Linked DNA regions of Macaca fascicularis. The protein of the gene in region 1 binds, or shares a complex with, the protein of each later gene. Links are inferred from orthologs where the notes say so. Each region holds a gene or a part of one and is shown on either strand. Other genes may lie near its edges. The genes, in order: FNIP1 and LAMTOR3.

Region 1 (3,815 bases):
TGCCCTCAAGAAGTCAACAGTCTAAGACTGTAGGTAATATATATGCAGACAACAATAATAATTCAAGGAGGAACTATAAGAGAAATGAAAAGTTTAGTAGGAGTTGAACAGGGGAGCCTACTTTTGCCCAAGTGAGGATGCTTAGGTGGGAAGCTATGGACTGGCAGAGATATTGAGGAAAGGGACAGGACATCACATGAGTAAAGAGTAGGTGTTAAAAGTGCAGAGCATATTCAGTGGTCCAGTTTAACTGGGTCTTTGCATGAATAAAGATGATTTCTTCTTCTGACTGCCAAGAAGGAGGATAAGTATAAGAAGATAAAGCTGGAAAAGTAAAATGGGAATCATGAAAGACTCACTTGCCATACCAAAGTAATTTCAACTTACTTGGTAATTCGTGGGAATCGTGGGAGTAATTTAGAACAGTGGCATGGTGATATTTGAGCCAGTGTGTTAGCCAGAGGAGAAAATTTATCATAATAATACCTATAGCATGTATTTATTTGAGACCTATTTATATTTGTTCCTTTAAAAAGTGTGAGGGCTTTGTAAAGTAAAAATAGAGGATTTTAAATGTATATACTAACAACTTGCAAAAATTAAATTAAGTTGAAATTAGTGGCTTTGTATTCTCCTTTTTCTTTTCTTTCTTTCTTGAGACAGGGTCTCACTGTATCGCACAGGCTAGAGTGCGGTGGTGCGATCACAGTTCACTGCAGCCTCAGCTTCCTGGGCTCAGGTGATTCTTCCACCTTTTCCTCTCAAGTAGCTGGGATTACAGGAGCAAGCCACCATGCCCAGCTAATTTTCTGTATTTTTTTGTAGAGACGAGAGTTTTGCCATGTTACCCAGACTGGTCTTAAACTGCTGGGTTCGAGTGATCAGCCTGCTTCCACCTCCCAAAATGCTGGGATTACCTGCATAAGCCACCATGCCCAGCCCTGTTCTCCATAGTTTTGGCACTGAAATTACTGGTTTAATTTGAAGTATAGCATAAATATAGAAATGATAATTTCTAGTCCTGACCCCCTCACTTCCCCTGCTTTTAACATAATCGCTAGTCATGTTTAGAATGGGTTCAAAAGTGAAAATGAATTGCATGGCTAAACTCGTTGCCCTTTCTTTTCCTTTTAGTAAGGATGAGTCTCTCTCTTCCTGCCCCTTCTGGCCTATCCTGTGTACCCAACCCTCTAGGGAATGGAAGGGGAAAATAGGCTCTTACTAACATGGGAGCTGGTGGGATGGGGTGCTGGCTAGGGGAACAACAGTTAAAGTTTAGAGATATGACTTACTTTTTAATTTTATTTCTTTGTTTCTTTTTTTTTTTTTTGAGACGGAGTTTCACTCTTGTCGCCCAGGCTGGATTGCAATGGTGTCATCTCAGCTCAGTGCACCCTCTGCCTCCTGGGTTCAAGCAATTCCCCAGCCTCAGCCTCCCGAGTAGGTGGGACTACAGGCATCCACCACAACACCTGGCTAATTTTTGTATTTTTAGTAAGTACAGGGTTTTACCATGTTGGCCAGGCTGGTCTTGAACTCCTGATATCAAGTGATCCACCCATCTCGGCCTCCCAGAGTGCTGGAATTACAAGCGTGAGCCACCGTGCCTGGCCCCAGAGATATGATTTAAATCAGGAATGATTAAGTGTGTGGTGTGACTACTCTAGCTTTGCTCCATTTTACCGCTACTCCTTTCCTGTCCTTGCAAGCCAGCAGATATTGTGCTTTGTCTTTTCTTGATTGGACACAGCTGCAGAGTCCTTGTGTACATAGTACTTCAGGCAGTACTTCTCTAACCAGGTAAAAATGCTCTTCATGGAGCCTGGGTTAAAGAATATTCTTGGGATATGTGAGTTTCAGAACTGACTCTTTGCTTGAGGTTTCTGAACCATAGCATTTGTTTAAAGAGGAAGCCTGAAAACCCTTAAATTCACCTTTCTTTCTGGTTAAGACTATTCATCTCATCTTCCTCCCTTGAATAGTCACTCATCTGTTAAAGAACTAAGAATGAGGCCAGGCATGTTGGCTCATGCCTGTAATCCCAGTACTGTGGGAGGCCAAGGCCAGTGGATTGCTTGAGCCCAGGAACTCAAGATCAGCCTAGGAAACATGGCAAAACTCTGTCTCTACAAAAAAAAATACAGATAATTAGCCAGGTGTGGTGGCACATACCTATAGTCCCAGCTACTCAGGAGGCTGAGGTAGGATAATTACTTGAGCCTAGGAGGCTGAGGCTGCAGTGAACCATGACTGTACCACTGTACTCCAGCCAGGATTACAGTGTGAGACCCTGTCTCAAAAAAAAAAAAAAAAAAAAAAAAGTAAAACCTAAACAACTACTCATACAGTAAGATTAGGTTTCTGATCATTAAAAATAGCTTACTTAGCTGTGTCAGTAAAGGATGTGTCCAATAACTGATTTTTCCATTACAGGAGACTTGTATGGCGCTATTGGCTCTCCTGTACGGTTAGCAAGGACTGTGGTAGTTGGCAAACGACAAGACATGGTCCAGAGGCTACTTTATTTTCTTACTTATTTTATAAGATGCTCTGAACTTCAAGAAACGCATCTTTTAGAAAATGGAGAAGATGAAGCCATCGTTATGCCAGGCACAGTAATTACTACCACTTTAGAGAAAGGTGAAATAGAAGAATCGGAGTATGTCCTTGTCACAATGCATAGAAACAAAAGCAGTTTGCTCTTTAAAGAGTCAGAAGAAATAAGAACTCCCAGTTGTAACTGTAAATATTGCAGTCATCCACTCCTTGGGCAAAATGTAGAGAACATTTCACAACAAGAGAGAGAAGATGCTCAAAACAGCTCTAAGGAGCTGCTAGGAATTTCAGATGAGTGCCGGATGATTTCTCCTTCTGACTGCCAAGAAGAAAATGCTGTTGATGTTAAACAGTACAGAGATAAATTAAGAACTTGCCTTGATGCCAAGTTAGAGACGGTTGTTTGCACAGGATCTGTTCCAGTAGACAAATGTGCATTGTCAGAGTCAGGCTTAGAGCCAACAGAGGAAACATGGCAGAGTGAGAAGTTGCTGGATTCAGACAGTCACACAGGCAAAGCAATGAGATCCACAGGAATGGTTGTGGAGAAAAAACCTCCAGATAAGATTGTGCCTGCTTCATTTTCTTGTGAGGCTGCCCAGACAAAGGTTACTTTCCTGATTGGGGATTCTATGTCACCTGATTCAGATACTGAGCTTCGAAGTCAGGCAGTGGTGGATCAGATTACCAGACATCACACCAAACCATTGAAGCCAGAAAGAGGGGCTGTTGATCAGCATCAAGAAACTAAACAAACAACTAAGGACCAATCTGGAGAGTCTGATATACAGAACATGGTTTCTGAAGAGCCCTGTGAACTTCCCTGTTGGAATCATTCAGACCCAGAAAGCATGAGCTTATTTGACGAATATTTTAATGATGATTCAATTGAAACCAGGACTATTGATGATGTTCCAATTAAAACAAGTGCAGATAGTAAAGACCATTGCTGTATGTTAGAGTTTTCAAAAATATTGTGTGCAAAAAATAACAAACAGAACAATGAATTTTGTAAATGTATAGAAACAGTTCCCCAAGATTCATGTAAAACCTGCTTTCCTCAGCAGGACCAAAGAGATACACTCTCCATTCTTGTCCCCCATGGGGATAAAGAGAGTTCAGATAAAAAAATTGCTGTAGGAACTGAATGGGACATTCCAAGAAATGAAAGTTCAGATAGTGCCCTTGGGGATAGTGAAAGTGAAGATACAGGTCATGATATGACTAGACAAGTTAGCAGTTATTATGGAGGAGAGCAA
Region 2 (4,464 bases), on another chromosome or scaffold:
AAATTACAGGGCACAATGAAAGCATTTATCTAGAAGGCCTAAACTATTCAGTGAGGGTCAGGAAAGGCTTCTCTGAGAGTGAGTTTAAGCTGAAATGCAAAAGAAGAGATTAGTAGGATTAAGGTATGCTAGAGAAATATCTCAGGCAGAATGTGCTAAGTTGGTAAAGTGATAAAAATCTTTATGGAAGTGGAAACAAACTTGTATGATCATAGCATAAGGAATCCAGGGTAGGTGAGAGAATCAATATAGGGGCCAGATCCCCATAAGAACGATATATAAACCATGATGCTGATATTGAACTTTATCCTAAGTCAATAAAGTTGATTTTCAAGAAAGGAGTTAAATGATCCGATTTGGGTTTTTAGAACATCATTTTTGTTGCTCTATGGAGACTGGAGGGCAAAAGAGAATGTAAGAAGAATAGGAGGTTATTGTCAAGAGAGAGATGATCATGGCTTGCACTAGGGTACGAACATAGATAGGTGACTAGTTTTCAAAGATAGGAGGTAGAATCAACAGAACTCTGATTAGATTTGTGACATGCAAGCAGCAATTAAAAACCAGGCTAAAATTTTCTGAAAATTTGGCTATGAAAGGGAGTAGAGGAAAAACAGGGTGGTAGCTGAAAGAGGATGTGATTTCTAAAGAAGCTTTTCTTTTGAGCATCTCGCTCTGTCACTCAAGCTGGAGTTCAGTGGGGCGATCACCACTCAATGCAGCCTCAAACCCTGGGCTGAAGGGATCCTCATGCCTCAGCTTCCGGAGTACCTGGCGCACGCCACGTAAGGCTAATTCTTTATTGTTGTTATTATTATTAGTAGTAGTAGTAGTAGTAGAGATGGGGTTCTATCTTGCCAGGCTGGTGTGGAACTCCTGGGCTCAAAGGATCGTCCCGCCTCGGACTCCCAAAGTGCTGGGATTACAGGCGTCAGTCACCGCACCCGGCAAGGCTTTTTTTTTTTTTTTTTTTTTTTTTTTCCAATTATTATTTATTATATGAGACCTTACTAATTTTTTAAAATTCTGATGTAAAAGGGAACATAGAAAGTACCCGTAATCCCGTGTCTGCATGTTAAAAGTAGACGCTTGAAGTGCTCCAGAAAACCCATGGCTCCTCCCCATTCAATCTAGATAAGGCCTTGAGTAAAGAGCACCCATGGGGAAGTCACAAGAACCTAGGAAACAAGTCAGAAACCTGTGGACCTGATACTTCCAATCACAGGCAATCTGTTGCTTGCTCTTCAGCTCATCACACCATCCCCTCAAATTTCTTCATCTACAAGAAAAGGTTTTAAGATAACGGACCCTGAAAAACTAATGACATTTATACACCCTCTCTGCACAAGAATGTCTTGTAACACATAACCTTGCTTGCATTTTCTGGGGTCCTCGGGGTCCAGCGATCTCGTACAAATCCTCTACCCCACAGCTGACGTCCCTCGGCCCGTGACACAAGGCGCAGGCGCAAGACGCGGCCCGCGGTGGGCGGGGGAGGGGCGGGGCGCGTCGGGCGGCCGCGCCCTCGAAGCTTCCGCCAGGCCCTTCCGGAAATCCAGTATCGTGGGGCGACGGCGTAGAAAGTGCTTCCCGGAGCGCCGAAGAGGTCATCAATCATGTGACGGTGGCTTGAGGAGGAACCTGTCTTTAAAGCTGTCCCTGAAGTGACAACGGAGAGAACCAGGCAACCCAGAAACCCCAGGTAACTGGCGCTACTTTGCCTGGTTTGAGGCCTAGTCCCGGAGGTGGCGCGGGTGGTGAGACTAAACAGAAGGAGAGGGCCCCCTCTTCTTTTCTTTGGGCCTAGCTCTTTGGGGTGGAGGGGCAGGGATGGGGTGGGCTGAGGCAAGGCGTGCCAGCTGAGTACCCGTGGGGGTGTTGGGGCACTCCGACTCCCACTGGGCTCGCTGGGCCAAGCCCTAGAACCGCGGGGGTTTTGCCGGGTTCTGACCAGGGCTGATCTTGCTTATTAAGTTGGGGGTGGGGAGGACGAGGAAGCCAAAGAGGTAAGAGTCACCGGGAGTTTCTCTTCCAGGCGTGGAGATTGATCCTGCGAGAGAAAGGGGTTCATCATGGCGGATGTGAGTGACACCCCCACATAAGAGGAAGGGAGAGTGGGGAATTTGGAGGGGAATACTGAGCGGGGAGAGGTAGAAGATCCTCCCATCCCCACCCATCCCAGTTAATTATTTTCTCTTGTATGTGAAATGGGAGACTAATATGAATGAATTTGCAGGATCCTGAGTTTCTGCCTCGAATGGGGGTGGAGGACACTAAGGTGCTTGAGACTGAGAAAATTATATTCTCCCTACTCACCAATCCAGCTGGGGTATAAGAGAGGCTCTGTGTATTTACCATTTGAAATTCTGAATGATGGTTCGCTGCTTTTCCTGTCAGAATTTGGTCAGTAGGACATGTACCCAGAATACTTTTTTCCAGTAAGTGGTAACAATATCTTATTAGGTTTATTGTGGCAATTTACGATGATTTCTAACCCATGCCTCTTTAGAAACATAACATGAAATAAAATGAGGGGTGTGTGTGTGTGTGTGTGTGTGTGTGTAGGATGAGAGCAAAAATAAGCCAATAGTCATAACATGAAATAAAATGATCATTCGGGTTTGGAGAATAGTAAGTGTTGGAGGCTCAAAACAACAGATATCTGATTAATCCATGCGAGGTCAAAATTGATACCTCAAGTGTCAGTGAAATTCCTGGGATGAGAGAGTGTAATGAGACAAAATAAGATAATCTTCTGGCCGGTGAGGTGGCTTCGTCTGTAATCTCAGCATTTTGGGATGCCGAGATGGAAGGATCACTTGAGGCTGGGAGTTCAAGATCAGCCTGGGCAACGTAGCAAGACCCCGTTATACAAAAAGAAATTTAAAAACCAGGCGCATTGATAACCCTGTAGTCCCAGCTATGCTGGAAGTGAGGCGGAAGGATTGCTTGAGCCCAGAACTTGGAAGTTGCAGTGAGCCCCAGCTTAGAAAAATAAAATAGTCTTATATTTCTTTAGTCTTAACTGTGTTTAGTGTTAAACACTTGACACACTTCGCCATTTATCTTATATTCTGTAAGTCTGGGCTGGGCGTGGTGGCTCACGTCTGTAATCCCAGCACTTTGGGAAGCCAAGGCGGGTGGATCACCTGAGGTCAGGAGTTCGAGACCAGCCTGGCCTACATGGTGAAACCATATCTCTACTAAAAATACAAAAAATAAGCTGGGACGTGGTGGTGGGTGCTTATAATGCCAGTTACTCGGAGGTTGAGGCAGGAGAATCGCTTGAACCTGGGAAGCAGAGGTTGCAGTGAGCCGAGATTGCGCCATTGCACTCCAGCCTGGACAGCAAGAGCAAAACTCCCTCTCAAAAACAAAAAAAAAGACTGTTGCCTCACATAGTCATATATAATTTATTTTAGGTCCTTAAACAGAATATTTTAATAATTATGTTATAATAATATGCCTTACACTGTTTCATTATTTGTTGAGTAGGTGAGTTCAACAAATAATGAAACAATGGAAGGCATATTTTTATAATGTGAGACAACAGTCTTACAGAAGTCATATCACCTTACCCAAGACCATTAAAATGATGGTGGAAAGTCTATCTTTGAACCTGGAAAGGTGTTTATAATGTCTTCTCAAGTGAACACAATAGCAACAGGATATAAAACACTAGTATGAAAATTATGATATATTTTTATGGCTAAAATGTATTTGTGTTTCCCATTTCTAGGTATGCTAATCCATGCAACTTCTCAAAAAACTTTAACAGCACTCTTATGATGTAGGTTCTATATTAGCCCTATTCAACAAATAATGAAATAGGCTTAGGGAAAAAAGGTTAGTTAACTTACTCCAAGTTGCATGACTAGTAAACATCCAAATCAGACAGAGAAAGATAAAACACAGCAAGAAAGGTTATGAATGATAACTGAACGTCCCTAAAATTTGGATAGGACAGGATCTAGAAAACAGTGGAAGGCCTATTATTATAACATGATTTTTTAATATTCTCTTTCAGGACCTAAAGCGATTCTTGTATAAAAAGTTACCAAGGTAAGAAATTTTTAATTTGTTACTGAATAAATTCTATATGCCATATGTTAATTTTATGAAGTATTTTGTCTGTGTATTTTCAATGTTTTGAAGTATCTCTGAGATTTCCTTTAATATGAATATTTTTTGCCAGCATCATGTCCTCTGGAAAATTTTCGTCACAACCGCTTTCCTCATTTATGTCAATAAGTTTGCCTTCACTGAGTTCTCTGTGTATCTAGAGGGATAGTGTCAGCATTCCCTTGGTCACCTGTTTCTTCTATAACTCTTTATTTGAAATTCACTTCCAGCATTATTACTTTTCATTTCTTTGCTGTATTTCATCTTTGTCGGCCAGTTTCCTCTTTTTATTATCTCTTTTTCTAAATGTCACATACTTTATCATTGGGAGACAAGGAGGTA

What was found.
Region 2: FNIP1 (region 1) and LAMTOR3 share a complex: the UniProt entries of both Homo sapiens proteins name them as parts of the lysosomal folliculin complex. The link is inferred for Macaca fascicularis from reciprocal best matches to the Homo sapiens genes FNIP1 and LAMTOR3.

What each region holds. Positions count from the first base shown.
Region 1 is NC_088380.1:138,207,624-138,211,438, reverse strand, and holds part of FNIP1 (folliculin-interacting protein 1), read left to right. Parts: intron 1-2,433; coding exon 2,434-3,815. UniProt on the Homo sapiens protein: Binding partner of the GTPase-activating protein FLCN: involved in the cellular response to amino acid availability by regulating the non-canonical mTORC1 signaling cascade controlling the MiT/TFE factors TFEB and TFE3.
Region 2 is NC_088379.1:105,533,718-105,538,181, reverse strand, and holds the start of LAMTOR3 (ragulator complex protein LAMTOR3), read left to right. Parts: upstream 1-1,612; 5' UTR 1,613-1,757; intron 1,758-2,035; 5' UTR 2,036-2,072; coding exon of another isoform or gene 2,073-2,081; intron 2,082-2,397; 5' UTR 2,398-2,414; coding exon 2,415-2,438; intron 2,439-4,027; coding exon 4,028-4,062; intron 4,063-4,464. UniProt on the Homo sapiens protein: As part of the Ragulator complex it is involved in amino acid sensing and activation of mTORC1, a signaling complex promoting cell growth in response to growth factors, energy levels, and amino acids.